Linked DNA regions of Drosophila melanogaster. The protein of the gene in region 1 purifies or fractionates together with the protein of each later gene. This does not show direct contact. Each region holds a gene or a part of one and is shown in the gene's direction. Other genes may lie near its edges. The genes, in order: RpL7-like, CG6937, RpL24-like and l(2)k09848.

Evidence for each region.
Region 2: the proteins of RpL7-like (region 1) and CG6937 purify together in Drosophila melanogaster (affinity purification with mass spectrometry, with the first as the bait; one large-scale study listed by BioGRID). This does not show direct contact.
Region 3: the proteins of RpL7-like (region 1) and RpL24-like purify together in Drosophila melanogaster (affinity purification with mass spectrometry, with the first as the bait; one large-scale study listed by BioGRID). This does not show direct contact.
Region 4: the proteins of RpL7-like (region 1) and l(2)k09848 purify together in Drosophila melanogaster (affinity purification with mass spectrometry, with the first as the bait; one large-scale study listed by BioGRID). This does not show direct contact.

The regions. Positions count from the first base shown.
Region 1 is NT_033779.5:12,054,171-12,058,949, forward strand, and holds RpL7-like (ribosomal protein L7-like), read left to right. Parts: upstream 1-2,177; 5' UTR 2,178-2,251; coding exon 2,252-2,262; intron 2,263-2,328; coding exon 2,329-2,977; intron 2,978-3,044; coding exon 3,045-3,158; 3' UTR 3,159-3,722; coding exon of another isoform or gene 3,723-4,043; 3' UTR 4,044-4,081; downstream 4,082-4,779. Other genes in the region: JhI-21 (juvenile hormone Inducible-21), read right to left, coding at 133-328, 915-1,126; CG34164 (uncharacterized protein), read left to right, coding at 3,723-4,043; Rab3-GAP (Rab3 GTPase activating protein), read right to left, coding at 4,420-4,596, 4,660-4,779.
Region 2 is NT_033777.3:22,582,807-22,587,107, forward strand, and holds CG6937 (uncharacterized protein), read left to right. Parts: upstream 1-1,966; 5' UTR 1,967-2,056; coding exon 2,057-2,152; intron 2,153-2,219; coding exon 2,220-2,564; intron 2,565-2,627; coding exon 2,628-3,257; 3' UTR 3,258-3,342; downstream 3,343-4,301. Other genes in the region: Dph5 (diphthamide methyltransferase), read right to left, coding at 1-109, 180-314; CG33107 (uncharacterized protein), read right to left, coding at 663-717, 789-835, 893-1,123, 1,182-1,385, 1,444-1,629, 1,686-1,838; btn (buttonless), read right to left, coding at 3,343-3,819.
Region 3 is NT_033777.3:11,429,676-11,433,399, reverse strand, and holds RpL24-like (ribosomal protein L24-like), read left to right. Parts: upstream 1-1,817; 5' UTR 1,818-1,910; coding exon 1,911-1,991; intron 1,992-2,061; coding exon 2,062-2,556; 3' UTR 2,557-2,660; downstream 2,661-3,724. Other genes in the region: CG5276 (uncharacterized protein), read right to left, coding at 108-405, 460-1,421; Dtd (D-aminoacyl-tRNA deacylase), read right to left, coding at 2,664-2,773, 2,829-3,061, 3,130-3,220, 3,276-3,318. UniProt on the Drosophila melanogaster protein: Involved in the biogenesis of the 60S ribosomal subunit. Ensures the docking of NOG1 to pre-60S particles.
Region 4 is NT_033778.4:6,073,756-6,078,440, reverse strand, and holds l(2)k09848 (lethal (2) k09848), read left to right. Parts: upstream 1-2,073; 5' UTR 2,074-2,182; coding exon 2,183-2,270; intron 2,271-2,326; coding exon 2,327-3,377; intron 3,378-3,440; coding exon 3,441-3,561; 3' UTR 3,562-3,970; downstream 3,971-4,685. Other genes in the region: CG7849 (uncharacterized protein), read right to left, coding at 408-1,018, 1,068-1,280, 1,336-1,465.

The DNA.
Region 1 (4,779 bases):
TGAATTCAATTCCGGTCGAAGGTAGCCGCCCATTAATAAATTTCTATTTATTTGCATCAACAACCCATCGATCAATCAAGCCAAATAAGTAAACATTCCGTAATTCAATTGATGAGTACTATAGGAACTGACCTGCGTGGTTGGCCGGATGATGAGCAGTGCGATCCAGAGGCGAAGGAATCCCACCAGCGGTCCAAAGGACACCAGCAGGTAGGCGTAATCCCCGCCAGATCTTGTGATGCATGTGCCCAGTTCCGCGTAGCACAGAGCTCCGATCGTCGATAAAATGCCGCAAGTCAGCCAAATCAAAAGGGAGCTTCCCACGGATCTGAAATGATTTAAAGTAGTCATCGAATCAATAAACAATTTGAATGAAAATAAACACTCGTAAACAAATATGGTCAGGGAATACATACATATATATATATATAAAGCAATAAAAATTATAAATATAGATCTAATATTAACTCGGTGGCAAATATTTGTAAGCAATAATAGTAAAATGGTATTTAAACAAAACATCTAAAAAAAACAAGTGCTGGGGATTAGCTTTCATTTCGATAAAATACTTTTATGAATTTAACTTCCTGGAATTTTTCGCAGCCGCCTTAAGCTTATGACGCACACCTTTTTTTGTGGCTCTTATCAATAATTTAAATGTTTGGCGCGCCTTATTGACGTTATTCTTGTGACTGGAGACAATTCGCTTAAAAAAAAAAAACACTTTAAAAAGCTGACGCAATATGTGGGCAGAATTTCAAGGTTGAATCTTTGAGGGAAAATCGAGAACTAATAAATGTATCTTAATTGGTGCTAAAGGAATGCCTGCGACAATCTATCCATTAATTAACAGCTAAATTGACCTTTTTTGTGCATAAATTGAATTAAGGAGGATGCTCTGTATCACCACTCACTCGGTGTAAATAAAGACTCCCGTGGGAGCAATGAAGATGCCCGATCCAATGATGGTGCCCACTATGATGGCCACTCCATTGATGAGTGTTAGCTTCCGCTTGAGGACAATCTTCTCCTCGCCATCAGCGGGATTTGGATTACCCGGCGCGGCGCATCCATTTGTGGGCTCGACCAGGCTGGTGGTCACTCCATTGGCATATCGGTCCGTCATGATGTCTGCACTGTGGGATTCTTCTGCTTACCCTCTTCTAATGGCGAATAGCGCACATTGTCACTGGAATGAAGGGTAAAAGTTGAAATGTAGAAAAAAAAGCCTTCATTACTATCAGCAAATGGGGCGCGAGCACGTGTTGCGCAAATTGTAAACAAATGCTATAGTGCTGATTTTAGTTACTAATTGCTAGTGAAGAAGACCCGATTTTTGCCTCGCTGGCAGCTAACTAATCTCCCATTGTCAGGCATAAACTTGAATGTTTCCCCGACGCCACTATCTTCGATACACGAAATTTAGCTTTAAAGTAGGGTGATTTTTGGGGTTGGCATGTTGTGGTGTGTAGCTGCCTAATGGGGAGCTCCACTTTTATGGTGACGCCTTTGCCGCGTGCCAATTTCCACGATTTCGTCATCACCTTACGACGCGTGGCAATGAATTTTGCAGTTGCAGAGTTGCAGTTTTTCTGGCAATTGCTCGATTGCTTTTATTCGCTTCTTTTTTTTTTTGTTGGTTATTCGCAAGGTTTGGAATGCAGTTTGGCTGATTAATTTCGGTTTATCTTGTTCCCAGCGACTTTGCACGTAAAACACGATTTATTTTACCTCGAGAGCGCGGACACAACAAAACGGCTTTGACTGCGAACAGCGACTGTGCGTTGGCATCGAGACCGGCATTTTCATACTAAAATTAACGCAATTTTCACCCTAAAACGCAGTGAGAGAGTGAGAGCAGCAAACGGAGAGAGAAACAGAGAGAGAGAGAGAATGAGTGTAAAGAAAAAAAATGAGAAATGAGTGCTCAAAACCGGAAATTAATGTCAAATGGTTACTTACAAGAAGAAAACATTAAAGCTGTCCTCTTGAATGCTAGCTAATGCTAAATTTATCTTATGGCATAACTATTAAGCATAGTTTTCAGTTGAATAATACAATTTCTTAAATGTTCCCGCCAAAAATTTCAAATTTGTTAGCTATTCACCACGAAACGCGCTCAGCTGTTGCACACATCACTTATCGATAGCAAAGCACTTATCGCTCCGCGCCCACCTCTATCCTTTTTAGTTATTGTTTTGGTGCTTGCACGTGTTTTAATTTACTTCGATTAAAAAGCCAAATACCAGCAATGTCAGACAAGTGAGTGATTGAAAAACTATAAAAATGTGTTGACCCTAAACATTATCTTATACTTTTGATCCCTAGATATGCGGTGCCCAACAAATTGCCCGGCAAAACAGTGTCGGTGCTAAAGCATCGCAAGAGGAGAATTCTGCAGGATGAATCTGTTGTTACGCAGAAAAGAAATGACCGCATCAAAAAGAGAACCGCCACCAAGAATCACCACAAATTCCGCCGTGCCGAATCCTTCGTAATGGGCTACCTGAAAGCAGAGCGCACGTCCAAGCGGATCAAGCAAACCATTCTGCGCACCAATGTCACCGAACAAAGTGCCAAAGCTGCCGACGATTCCAATCCCAAACTGCTCTTCGTGATGCGCCATGCGGGCAAGAAGATCTTCGACAAGACCACCGCGGATATATTCCGAACCCTGCGCATGGGCTCGCGCCACAACGCCGTCTTCATGGAGAACACCAAGGAGAACCAGTTGCTGCTGCGCGTTATCGAACCCTTTGTAGTCTACGGCAATCCCTCGCTGAGCTCCATTCGCGAGCTGGTCTTCAAGAAGGGCTTCGCCCGCATCGACGGCAAGAAGACGGCCATCCAGTCGAACACCATGGTGGAGCAACAGCTGGGCGACAAGGGTGTCATCTGTCTGGAGGATATAATCCACGAAATTTGCACAGTGGGTCCAAACTTCGCCGCTGTAAATGAGTTTCTGTGCGCCTTCACGGTTGGTTAACAACTTCTCTTTTGCAATTCTTAAAACTATACTATTACCGCCATTTGGTTTTTTCCAGTTGTCCAGTCCCAGCAATGGTTGGCAAAAGAAGGTATCCGTCTCGTACAAACGCGGTGGCGAGTACGGCGATCGTGGCACTGCCATCAACGAACTGATTGCCCGCTGCCTGTAGAGACCCTAGCCTAGTAAACCCTTAAGTGATTGTTCAACCTCTATAACCCATTCTGTAGCTAAGCCCAATACACATCTATATACAAACGTATTCTATTTGAGCGTACTTATTTAACGAAGAAAATAGATGGTCAGGTCAGCACTATCGTGAGTTTACTGTATGCCTATAAAAGCAATCCTGCGACTATTAAGGAACCACATGAAACTGTCTCTAACGACATTCCTCATTATTCTACATGTTTATCAACATGATAAACTTCACCCACGAAACAAGTTCTTTGCTTCTTGGCCTTGCGTGTCCCAGCCGAGTTCCCAAATTGAACAAACCAGAGAATCAACTTTCTGCCTCGAATAATAAATAAGTCATAACCGAGGTGGCTCCTCGCAAACGAAAGGTATGCCAAACTGAACTACTTGTTGCCATGAAGGAGGAACTGTTGTTTTTCGATTAGTCGGAGTCAGTGCCACTAACCTAGTGCAACTCGGGTCGTCGTATCTTTTGTTCGGATAAAACTCCAGGGACTACACATTGGAATTCAAAATCCTTAGATTCAATTAATTCTCAATGAATTCAAGTTTCAACAGCGAGCAGTTGGACACCGACCGCGATGGACTGCAAAAAATTCTGGCCCGATCTCTCAAGGAACCCATTCTTGGCAAGCACTTTGCCCTGCCTGGCCGCATAGAGCAGAGTCCACCCATCGAACTGGACACCAGCCAGAGCTACATTGCCGTCTACACTCATCTCAAAGTGCACGCCACCATGATGCCGGAGAGATTGCCCACGCCGGAGGCAATCGGACGAATACAGGCGGAGAACTTGGAGGCAGCGCCCAAGGCACGAAGTTCAAAGACCCGCTTGGATCCCTGCTCAAATATAAATTAAATTACGTTGGGCATCAATAAAGAAAGTATTGTTATTTTATCTTTTGGTATCCCTTAAATTTAGTAAAAGAATATTAAAATTTTTTTTTTTATTTTATTAAATATACATGTTCATAATCCTTGTAGGCATAAGCTTCACATCAAATTCGTGTTGAATACATCCTCCTATCGGTGCAGATCTTAGTATCCTTTTTCTTGAAAGTAATTAATATGATGCTTTTCGTAGGTTGTTTAAATCGCTACTAGGTTGATAAGTATAAGACAATTAATGGGACCGCATGTGGTGCTTTAACAATCAATATTGGGTTCATTCTTGAATCCATAAAAATCATGAGAGAAATGTAAAATAACCAAGTGTTTATGTGTCATCCTCACTCCTAATTCTGCAGGATACGCACGGCGTTGTACATCTGGCCAATGATGGGCAGCTGCTTGGACTCGCGCCGGCAAAGGTATTTGTAGGCATGCGACAACAGCCTGTCCAGGGCAGCCACATCGATCTCGTCGGGCTTGGTGGCCGCGATCTGAATGTTGTTCTCCGTCATCGGTTCCTTCTGCGTAAGCGGCGTGAGAAATGGATCAGTACTGCGAATGATATATGCGCTTGCAGCACTTACCAGGTTGTCTAGGTAGGCCAGCAACTGGTGGCCAACAGAGGCAATCTTCAGGAACGTGGACTGCGAGCTCTGTGCGTAAAGATTAAGTCTACGGCCAGCGATCTCCAGCAGCAGTCGGCC
Region 2 (4,301 bases), on another chromosome or scaffold:
CCACGAGCAGCGCAACATCGGATTCGCCCGCACCCGCCAGGATCTCATCCGCACCCTGCTCCACCAGATCGCGGTCGGCTAGCAGCAGTGGTCGTCCATAGAACTCTTGCTGCGAACAAAGTGGAGATGCAATTAGCATTGGGGGTGCTCCCAGAACGAAGGCCATTCCAGATACCTACCATATCCTCAAGGCTGCAGCCCAGAATCGAGGTGTACATCTCCAGATAGACGCGACTGCATTGCTTCACTATCTCCAGACCCTTGACCGTGATGTCCTTCAGGTCGCCAAGGCCGAGGCCGATTAGGTAGAACATGCTGGGCGACTGGTGCGACTGCTCGGCCACTGCAACTCCTGCCAAATGTTATTAAAATCGCTTTTTAAATGCAGTCAACACGTGCCGTCGCGCGTTGTGTGACCGCCGCCAGAGCGCCAAGAAATACTCACATTGCGACAATGGGCTAAAAAAGCCTGTGCAGCAATGGCGCGTATTTTGAATTTGAAGGCCATTTCATTTAATTGGGAAATAAACACTAAAAACTTTGGTCCACTACTTAAGAAATGATATATTTGGTTTGCTTTTTTGATCTCAGCTGTATGATACCTATGTTACTCTTAGACTGTAATAATAAGTAAACTACTTAACATAACTACACTCCAGCAATTATTGGAACTCTGAATTTGTTTGCTCGGAAATCTTGAAGCTGCAAAGTTGGGGTCTGTGGATGAAAAATATCATTTAATTAACGTACTTACGTACTTACAACAATATTACGCCATTTCAACTTACGTTGTTGAGGCGCCCCGAACCACGCAATAAGCTATGAATCGTTCAATCTGCAAAGCAATCTTTATCTTTACCGATTCCCTTATTATAAATGCATAGGCACTCACCATCATTTCAAAGTCGCCATAGGCGGCGGAGTGATCCATGCGCACCTGCAGGAAGTACTTGTGTATCTCGGCACCCAGATTGTCCTTCCAATCAGGACACTCCTCGCGTATACGTCTGCAATTGATGATCATGCTGAAAGTGCGGATGAGCATAAACAAATCTGCCTGGCGTCCACTGTTTGCCAACTGGCGCCAGTTGACCGTTTTGGCCATTTCAAAAGCCTTGAGAGCCTGCATATATATGGGTTTAGATTTTAAAGTGCTGATGGAATCAGTTTTAGGTTCATACATATTCCTTCTGGTCCAGTTCAACTGGTTCTCCCGTGTACCGTCCCATTATGGTGAGTAGCAGGGCCATAGCTACATCGTTGCCAAGATGGCAGGATTCTACCATGGCGGGAATCGCGGCCTGCAGGTCCAGCACTCTTTCCAGGCGCTCCATACCCACGCCAGTGATAAGGTTTTCGTACAACCCACTGGCCATGTAGAACATCTAAAGGGAATAAGATGTAATTGATCGGAAATGTTAGGATAGCAGAAAGGGGAACTACCTCCTCCGAGTCCAGGGACTCTGCCAGGTGACACACCACATCCACCATCATGTAGCGCTCCTTCATCAGCAGAACGTTGTCCCTTTGGTACGTCATCATCATAATGGAGAGGGTAAACAGATCGAGCAGCTGCTGCAAATTGAGTTCCAGCTTCCCGGCTAAGGTAGCCATCATGCGATTCAGCAACTAAGTTAATATAAACAAATTAGTAATAGTTATTAGGAAATAAACAGAATAATAACCTGTTTGCCGTCTGTGGTTTCTGCAGCGTAAGGAAACAAATGCTTGATGGACGACTTCCGGAGAAAGGACATGATGGATTCGTGGTCATAGCCTAGGCGCATTTCATCCACTTCCACGAGGGAATTATTCAACGATGAATCAGATAGATTCATTTTGTATTGGCGGTAAAAAATGCGCAAAGCAAATAAATAGAAATAATAAACTGAAAGAGTGACCAGGCACCAAGGGGTGGGTCAAATAGCCTAACGCCTAGTTAAGCGCTGTATCGCATGAACGTAAACGGTCATACCATTATTGTTGCTCCACGTGCGGCGATTTTTATTCATTTACTACTTTAATAATCAATTTTAGTGAATTGACACTAATTAAAATGCCGCCTGTTAAGAAGCCCAAGGCGCAGAAGATCGAGAAGCAAAGCACGCCCAAAAAGCCCATCGATGCAGCCAAGAATGTGGTTTCCGGACAGGTGAGCGGCTACCAAAAACAAATGCTCCTCCGTTGGGTTGGATAACCGTAAACTGCGTCCATTTTAGCTAAAGAAAAAGGTGACCAAGGCCAGGCCGCAGAAGCCAAAGGGTCCAGAACGCGGCGTGGTCATTGTGAAGCACCTGCCTCACGGATTCTTCGAGCAGCAGCTGCGCCAGTACTTCCGACAGTTCGGTCGGGTGCTGCGCGTCCGTTTGGCCCGTTCGCTGCGCACCGGTAACAGCAAGGGCTACGCCTTCGTGGAGTTCGAGTACCCGGAGGTGGCCAAGGTGGCTGCCGACACCATGGACAACTACCTGATGTTCCAGAAGGTGGTGAAGGCCACCTACATTCCACCAGAGAAGCAGACACTCAACTTCTTCAGGACTTCCTTGAAGAAGGTTGTCAATAAGGTGCGTTCAAAGGGAAATACATCTAATGTCCGTTTGTTATTCATAGTTGTACTTCACTTGCAGGCCGGCAAGGAAATCTATGTCTCGGATTTAACCAAAGCCACACAGCGCAGCGTGAAAAAGCAGAATAACTGGGATGAGTCCGCCTGCCAGAAGCGCACCGTGGCCAATCTCAACAAGATCAAGAAGCTGCAGGAGAAGTACAAGGATCTGGGCATCGACTTCTCCAACTTACTGGTGGAACCAGTAAAGAAAGCAGCAGGCTCCGCTGAGGCATCTACAAGCCAGGCAGCCGCCAAGAAAGCCGGTAAGAAACAAAAAACGGCCGCGAAGAAAGAACCAACGCTGGAGGATTTGCTGGGCAACACCATCAACGAGGACTCCGATGATGAGGACTACGTTGATGCATCCGATGATGAGTCCGATCTGGAGGCTGAGGAGGAGCAAGCGGACAGTGAGCAGACCAGCGATGACAGCGACGAAGAGGAGGATTTATCACCGCCGCCCAAGCAGAAAAAGACTAAGCTGGCTGATAAACTGAAACGCAAGCCCGGCACTGGTGGTGTGCAGAAGAAGAAAATAGCTCCGCCGGCTAAGAGCAACAAGAATGCCGCCACCCAGAAGTTGCAGCTGGCCGCAGCCAAGTCGCTGGCCAAACCCTTGCCCAAGGGAAAGGCCAAGAAATCCAAGTAGTAGCTTAAAATACATTTACTATAGTTGTTAAGTAAGCGAAAACATTTTGTAAGATGAATTGTGTTAAAATATGTCCTTGTACAAACTAAAATGGCGTTTTGGCCGAGCTGCCTTGCTGCTCCTCCAGTTTGATGCGCTTGCACTTCATGCGTCGATTTTGGAACCACACCTTCACCTGGCGTTCGGTCAGCTCCAGCGCCACTGCGATTTCGTAGCGACGCAAGCGAGTCAAATAGTTGGAATAGCAGAACTCCGCTTCCAGCTGCTTGAGCTGCGTTTTTGAAAATGCTGTGCGTTCCTTGCGATTCGAGCTGATTGCCCGGAGTTTGGACCTTTGGCTTGGAAGTTCTTGACCAGTAGGTGCCTCATTTTGTAACCATTGATCGTTCGCTTCGTTGCACCAATTAGTTTCTAGTTTATTGTAATCCGCGTAGGAAGAAGACGCACTGTGGTCATATACATAGCTGCAGTCCGTATAGCCCTCCGTTTGGTTCAGCCACGATTTCGTAATATCCTCGTAGCAATAGGATTCTTGGTAGACGTTCGCGTGGGAGTTCTTCATTGCCGATGTCTTTGCTTCTAGGTCTAAACTATTACTGAAATCTCAGATTCGGCGGAGCTGCTTTTTAAACAAGGCGCAGAGTGTGCCAGGCCAATCTGCTTTTTCACTTAGTCGCAAATGATGTGCTGCTGATATGATAATTGTGCGCAACATCTGGACCTCGGGTATGAGTGGTTATGACACCCGCAGATCGGCTTGTTGTCTTTGCCTACGAACTGTTGTCACAACAAACCCGAATCCGATTCCCAGCCCCTTCCCCAGGCGTCCGGTCAGAAACGGAAGTGGACGCATGAGTCAAGTGCTTTGTGCCACCAACTGCGGAGCTATAAAATTTTAATAGACAACCGTCGGCGAGTCGTAAGACCCAGTCGGAGATTTATCTGAAAGTCGCAATTGCACGCGCTTTTAAAGTCGATGCGGCGGATTACGAGTGACCATTGAGTGTATATTCCTAGATAATCCATGACAAAGTGGAGTTTTAT
Region 3 (3,724 bases), on another chromosome or scaffold:
TATAAATATAAAGCTTACCGTATGGGACAATAATACAATATGTACACGTTTAAAACTGAAGCACCTGGATCGAAGTAGAGTGGAGTGCGGTAGCTTGGAATGGCGAGCTAAATGAACTCGAATCCCTCATACTTGTAGTCCGTCTCGATCCTCGTTTCGGGCAGCAGTGTCTTGCCCGCAATATCGAAGGCTGTGATGAAGGTGGCCGTCTTGCCATTCAACTCCTCCGACTTAAGAGCCACGATTATTGAGTCATCGGTGCCGGGCAAGAACTTAAAGCTAGAGAAACCATGCGTGGGCGTTGTATTTTCAGGATCGAGCCGTACAGTCTCAACGTTGGTGAAGCTTTCGTCGGCGGAGACCAGGACATTGCAGCCCATGTGCTCGTCCTTGGTTTCGTTGTATCTTTCAAAGATAGATCGATGAGTTAAGGATTTAAAGGCTGACACGCTTACTCACTTCTCTTTCGAACACCGCCTAGGCAGGAAAAACCAGCGATTCCTTTCCTCTGACCAGGTTCCACTCTCGTGGATCATGTAGCCCGGCCAGGTTATTTGCATCGACTGCAGGCGCAACTGCTTGAAATTGTCCACCCAGTTGAGCGACCTCACCTCGCCGGACGGAGTGATGGCCTTTACGTACATGGGGTTATTGTTCTCGAAATCACCCGCACTTGTCGTCCACTCCTTGCCCATGGAGCCCACATACAGCGTTTGCTCTTTCACTGTGGCCCATTCGGCCTTGAAGCCCTTGGCACTGTGTCCGTCTCCATCGAGCAGGATCACCCAGGGAATGGGCTTGTCATTCACAATCTCGTATATCAAACCCGTTCGGTCGTCGAAGGTGAGCAGGCGCCCGTTGAAGGTGACTAGCTCAGATAGCTCCATTCCGCGGCCCTTAAGGGCAAATGCTGATTCCAGGACTATCGGCGCCCCGTCATCCCAGCTAATCTGGATCTCTGACCTGGCCACCGTGTAGGTAAGGTAGCCCTTCTTCAGGTAGCTACGCCACGTGCTGCTCCCATCGCCCTTGCTCACCTTGGAACTGGTGTCCAGATCGGCAATCATGGCTATCCGGTAGTTTATCACACCGCCACGCAGCACCATGGGTGACGTGAGCGGATATGTGGCATTGTAGGCCTGGACCACTGGACCACCATTGTCCAGACTCCGGGCATCCGTGTAACTGCGGCGCAGCCAGTAGCCGTCGGAGGAGGAGTGCGATCCCTGGCGCGCAAAGTAGAAGAGTAGGACGAGTACGAAGGCGCAAACAATCAGAAGGGCGAAGTGATAGTTAAAGCGCACCGTCCGATTCCCAATCCGGTACGTGGGCGTCCGCAGGGCCGATCGCCAGTCGCGCATGTACATGGCGCGCGGCGAGTGTTCTGCGTGTTCCCGGTACGCGAAGGCAGGGCTCTGCATCTGGTCGCACGTCAGCAAGATCTCGTTCGCGGTGATGTGTCCGATTTTCTTGGTCTGCTGCTCTGTTTGTTTGGATGCTGGCGGTGTGACCAGCGCATGAGCGGGCGATCAGCTGGCGCAACAGCTGGTGCAAACTGGCGAGCGCATGCGATGTTATCGAGAAACAGGTGCAACAATTCAGTTTAAGTTAATGTAAACATACTGGGAAAAACATGATTTGGACAAAGACCGAAGGTAATTGAAATTATCAAAACAATACAACTGTCAACTGGTATCGCAGTCACTTGCAATTTATACGTATTTCTTGCTTGGATATTTTTTGTCTACATCTAGCTATTTTCCATGTTAGCCAGTGTTATCGATAAGCAGTGACTGGTCGCACTGCTGACTGCCGATACATTTTCATATTTCTTCTTCTTCAGCAGCACACGTGCTAGCAGCTTGCGCATTTGTTTTGTTTTCGTAATTTATCCGTCGTAAATTGCGAAAATGCGCATTCAAACGTGCTATTTTTGCTCTAGCAAAATATACCCGGGCCACGGGGTGCAATTCGTGCGAAATGACTGCAAGGTAAGAACGATTTGCTTTCCTGTTTACATGTGCTCCGATGTTTATATTGCTTCGCCATATTCCGTCGCAGGTCTTCAAGTTCTGCCGAGGCAAGTGTCACAAGGCCTTTAAGCGCAAGAAGAATCCCCGCAAGGTAGGATGGACGAAGGCGTACCGCAAGGCCGCCGGCAAGGAGCTGGCCATCGATCCCAGTTTCGAGTTCGAGAAGCGCCGCAACGTGCCCATGAAATACAGCCGCGAGACCTGGCAGAAGGGTCTGGAGGCCATCAAGCGGGTGACGGAGATTAAGGAGAAACGCACCAGCCACTTTGTCATGGAGCGACTGCGCAAGGGTCGCCAGGTCGAGATTCAGATGGACGTCAAGGATGTGCAGCGCAACATGTCCCTGATTCGCTCCCCAGCCGCAGGGCTGAAGCAACGACGTGCCCAGGAGGCGGCAGAGGAGGCCGCCCTCATGGAGGAGGATCTGCCCGAGGAGAAGATCACCTACGTGGATGCACGCGAACTCGAGAAGAAACTGGAGGAGGGAATGGGGGTCGAGGATCTCGAGATGTTAGAAGCCTAAGGACGAGTACGCTGATTTTTTCTTAGTTTAAGTTGCTGCTAAAAAATACATTATATAAAAACCCCGTGGTACATAAATGTTGTCTTTGGTTGTTATATATTTTCAAATCATTTGTCCACTTCTCTGTCAGTATCCTTTTGTTCGGGGGACTCCAAATTAATGGTTACGGGTCCATCGTTTTCTATGTGCACTTGCATGTATGCTCCAAATTTGCCATCTATTATAGTAAGTGAGATTAAAACATGACCAGCTGGAGTGTTCCTATCACTCACCTTTAATCTTGGTGCTATCGTAGGATTGACCTAGGCGATCCAAAAATTGATTGTACAACTCCTGCGCCTCCTCGCCCTTCATGGCAGCCAAAAAATCCGGTTTGTTGCCCTTAAGGCGGTGATACAGTGTAAACTGCGAGACGCACAGCAGTTCTAGGTTCAGATCCTTCACGGACTTTTGCCAACGCTTGCCCTCCTCCTCGAATAAACGGAGAGCCAAGATTTTCCGGACACTTGAATGGTAAGCTGTGTTAGGTGGTCTAAACCTAAGGTGGTTATCACCAGAGTGGAATTTACCTACAGATACTCAACATCCTTGGCGGTGTCGCTGGCCTTGATTCCCACCAGCACGCACAGGCCTGGTCCAATGGAGGACACCAGCTCATCCAACACTAGGGGAGCAGTATAAAATTATATGATAGATGGTAACTATTTGATCCTGCATACCCGTCACTTTGGCAGCCTTAACCCTTTGTATAACCGCACGCATTTCTTAATTATTCTATTTATTTACCACTTATTTAGATCTTTGTCAGTGCTGGTAAACTTGACACGAGCAGTGTTGACCGTCGCCCCAAGAATTCAAAAATATCGCGCATTTTCTGGGTAATAAACATATAACAGTATAATATAAAAATAACATAATAAATATAAAATACAGTACAATCAATAATATAATTTGGTTACATGCTGGGAGAGTCTTTTTGAGCTGGAGGGTGGAATACTTGCTGGCCCTTTGGAAAGATTAAAATTGATCTACATATATGTTAAATTCTAAAAACAAATTATCTATGCTAGCTCAGTTACAAAACAACTTGGGCCTTCACTAGGTGAATAATCAAAAGATGAATTCCAATTCCGAATAATATATATTCATCTAAATCTCAAAATTGAGA
Region 4 (4,685 bases), on another chromosome or scaffold:
TTTCCTGAAAAAAATCACTTCTTAATGATATTGAGCACCGAAGAAATTAGTTTACATAATTTGGAACAACTGACCCTTCGATGGGTCGAGGTTATCAACTATAGCAATCTCCCTTGTTTTTAGAATTAATTCAAAAAAAATTTGTGAAATGTATGGTTTTTGGCTACCGCTTCTAATAAGATCACGTTTTAAACATCTTACTTTTACTAAACTAGAGTCTTACGTTTTTTTTTTATAAATGACCTATTTTGAACTGTAACCGTCAATAAACTATGCTGACTTAAATAAGCAGATATTCTGCATATTCTTATCAAAAATTATTACCAGAATTATTGACCTGATTGACTGCTTTATAGTTTATCTGCCTATATTTATTTGACTATATTCAATTACAATGAATTCCTAAATTAATCTGTAGCTCGCAGTTCCACTCGCTGTTGTCGCAGAAGCTGTGGATGCGCCCTCAGGATGTCACGTTGTTGACGGAGGTTCTTGATAATTCCTGGCAAGTGCCAGGCGTGTCTGAGCAGACTATCTGTCACATCAAAATGGGCATGCCGCACGCAGCGTAGTTGGGAGCAGTGCGCCACGGTTCGGAGGTCCAAAGCCATATCGTGCACTAGCGTAGCTAAGTACTCCTGCGTCTCGTTGATGGCGTGCAGTTCCAGGGTGAAGTGCGGTCGATCGAAGTGAATCAGCTTAATGCCGTAGACGACGGGCTGACTGTCGTCCGCTGGGCGTAGGAGACCCCTACAGGCCAGTTCATAGGCCTCCTGGGTCTGCAAATCGACACCGCAGAGCTCAAACATCTTACGCTGATGGGATGCCTGCATGGAGGCGGCTAGACTGCTGATCCTGTCTGCGGACACGTGTCGGTGATTGGAGCGCATTATGACCCGTGAGTCTGGTAGGTTATTTTCGGTTGCGATGCCTAGGTGCCCGATTAGATGGTAGACCCGCACTGGTCGATTTTTCCGAATAGAACTAGACTGGCCTGCTCCCCTGTTGATCCCAAAGACTACAAAAGTATGGTTAGATCTGGATTTAAAATGTTTTACATGACTTACGCAGGACTCCGCTGGTGTGATCGCCCAGGCTGGACACTGTGGTGCAGATCAAGTCTCGCGGAAGGTACCGCGGTCCGGTGGACAGAAGGTGGTCGGATAGATCCGTCTGCTCTCCTATGTTATGTAGTACGTGATCTGCTGCAGTGCCTGTGCCCAGGAGGCTAATGTTCTCTTGCAACTTGCGTGGTTTCCTCTGCTCCATTTCGTTGAGTCCTTTTGCAGATCTGTTTTTAATTTCAATTTGTTCTTTAAATGGCGCTAGGCTTACCCTTGCAAATGTTGCTCAGAATAGCATTGCGCACGTGTTTCACCTTCATACCGGATGGCTTGTACACATTTAGAATGCCATTCATGTGCTTAAACACTGTGGCGGCATCATAAACTTTGGTGAGAGCCATTTCTGCTTTAAGTTACGTATGTGCGCTATTTGTTTTTAAATTCACATGACAGTGTTGGTGAACACACACGAACAGCTGAGCACATGTGCTGCCCAGTACTGAATAGGGTATAGACATGCACTTGAAACTTAATTTATAAAATTTACATATAAAATGTTGTTTTCAAATATCTCTTTAATTTTCTAAAAAAAAGTTTAGTTGGAAATAATTCTCAAAACGTTGTGGTCTTTATACCCGCAAAAAAACATGCTTGTATCACTGCAAAACAAGAATTAAGTCCACCGCACGAAAAAACAAGAAACAAATCCGATTGGGCTAAAATTTTCTATAAATTTTACAAATTTCACGGGAATATTCTCACTGTGGCTTGCATACTATTTGCTTGCATTTAAAATGACAACAAAACTGCACTTAAAGAAGTTATAATCAAATAAAGTCTTATGCGTATCACTATATTCTCACAAGAGAAGTGGTTTTCAACGAAAAAAATGTTTTAAACTGGTAAACAGCAAACTGAAGCCTAGTGACTACCCTAAATGTTATTAAAATATCGGTGGCCGTTAGATATCGATATAAACGATAACATCGATTATTAAGCATATGTCTTTTACATCTCTATTGCACGTGTAGGATTTGTTTTGACCGCACGAATTTGTATAGCCGCATACCATTAATTCACGTTTTAATCGCAAGTATTGAGAGAAACCGCGTCTTGAGATGAAGTGGACTACTGCAAATACCAAACATGTAAACTACACGGCGAAGCACGAACTGTATGTGGGAACACACACGGGCTCCTTTAAACGTACGTCCGCTTGTTCTTTATCGAACAGCATAATAATAATGACTTCAACTTTTTAGACCTGGTGCCTGCATCCGAGAAGACCCCTTATGGACAAAGCAACCTGAGTGATCTGTGCGCCCTGGATAAGGATTCCCGCGTCACATCTCTGGCCTTTGGCAACGACGATCAGACGGAGATCCTTCTAGGCCGGGCCAAGGACGCCGTGGAGATTCACTCCTTCACAGAAAAGGGACATTCTAGGAACACAGTATCCTTCAATGCTGCGCCAATTGTTGGTCTGGCCCGATACAATGACAAGCTTATTGCCGGCATTGGCAACGGAGAGATACAGAGCCTGGAGCTAGAGGCGAACGACGAGTCCGAGCCCGTGGTTATCGCCACGGGTGACCAAATGGACCACCTGCGCCAGTGCGCCCAAGTCAAAAGCATTGTAGCAACTGGCGGCAAAGAGCGTCAAAACAATCTAAAGGTCTACGATTTAAATGCCGACGGTAAGCAGATTTTCACCTCGAAGAATTTGCCCAACGACTATCTGCAGCTAGAGGTTCCGGTTTGGGACAGCGATATCGGCTTTGTGGATGGGCCTAGTGTACTGGCCACTTGCTCGCGAACCGGCTATGTTCGCATCTATGACACGCGTAAGCAGCGTCGACCTGTTGCATGTTTTGCCAGCGAGGAGCACGGGATGAGTTTTACGACTTTAGTGGCAAAGGGAAACTTTATTTACACGGGTACCACAATGGGTGCTCTAAAAGCCTTTGACACTCGACGCATGAAAACTCATGTGCATACGTACAAGGGATTCACAGGCGGGATAAGTGACCTTCATTTAGATGCCACCGGTCGCTTTCTGAGCTCTGCAAGCCTAGACCGATACGTTCGTATCCATGATTCCGAAACCACAGTGCTGCTCTACCAATGCTACGTGAAATCAAAGGCCACTAAGATTCTTATCCGACCGTTTGAAAACGAGGCACGAGTAACAGAAGAACCTGAGGAGGTCGCTGACCTTCAAATGGATAGAAACGTGAGTGAAAATAAGAGCGTCAACGCAACATCTGTGGACAATGAATACGAGGATATGTTTGATCAGATGCCCACTGTGGGGTAAGTTTAACTACATATTGAGTGATTTAATAATACGCTAAAATCTTATATTTTGGCCAACAGTGACAGCGATAATGAGTCCGAGGAAGAGATGTCTAATATTAAGCTTTCAAAGGCCGATCTAAAAAGAAGATCGTCGGAAAAGTCTTTAAAAAACAAAAAGAAAAAAGTTGTGATTAGTTAAAGCGACATGTATTTACGTATAAGAATATTAAAGAAAAAATAGTATAGATTTCGGTGGTTTTTATATTAAAGAACTAACAAACATGGCATCGTAGGTAGACACAGAGCTGTTTTAAAAAAGTTTCGTTGCATATTACATTCTGAACTGACTGTCGAGCAAGGGAACATGAGGTGCGTGCAAGTACTTAAAATAAATTATATTGTAAAGATGGAAGCAACAAACGTCGACTGCGATTATAGTGTTTTACCCCCAGCATAAAAATGGATTCGTGGCCTTCCTGTCATTTTTTCAATGAAGTGTTGGGTCTGTAAAAACATTGCAGCTTCTGCAGTCTAAGATAAGGTGTTGTTTATTTCCTATTTCTAAAAACATAATTCTCAAAAATGTTGGCTTTGGGGGACAGTAATGTAGGAGGCAACCTCATTTAAAGAGACGACTCTTGCGGTTCACCCTTTCTTTTATTTATGTTATGTGGAGTCGTGGTTTAGTGGCATTTTAATGGGCTTATAGTATAAGTATCTTATCCCTACTAGAGGAGTATCTTACATATGTTTAAATATTTATTTACACTAGATAGATGTACGGCAACGGAGAAAAATTAATATTGTAGCCATCAATAGTTTGGTATTATTCATCTTAAGTAAGCTTCTGTAAAAATCGTTTTGGCCACATAATATGAGATACACATAATATCATGTGTGTAGTATCTGAAGACATATATACATATGTTTGCCTATAAACTCATATTTCTCATAAACTAGAATTAAATGTTTTCCTGAAAAATGCAATATAGATTATTATAAATGCGTTATAATAATAATATTTCCCACTCGTTTCTAGATAAACAACGGCTTTGTTTTAAAAATTTAAAAGTATAAGAAAATAAAGCCAGAGCTCCTGAATTCATAATATGTTAAACAACAATGCTCATTATTTTGAGTTTAGGAACATAGTTGAAATTTTAATTCCATCAGATGTTCAATTTAAAATTTAATGTTTAAATGAACATTGCAGCTACTCGACCCGAAAAGCCAGAAAATTGCCCAGCAACGGAGACATTAAATCGAAGTTGGAGTCGCGAGATGGCATATTTTTGAATTTGGAGTGATAATTCCTTACCTAAA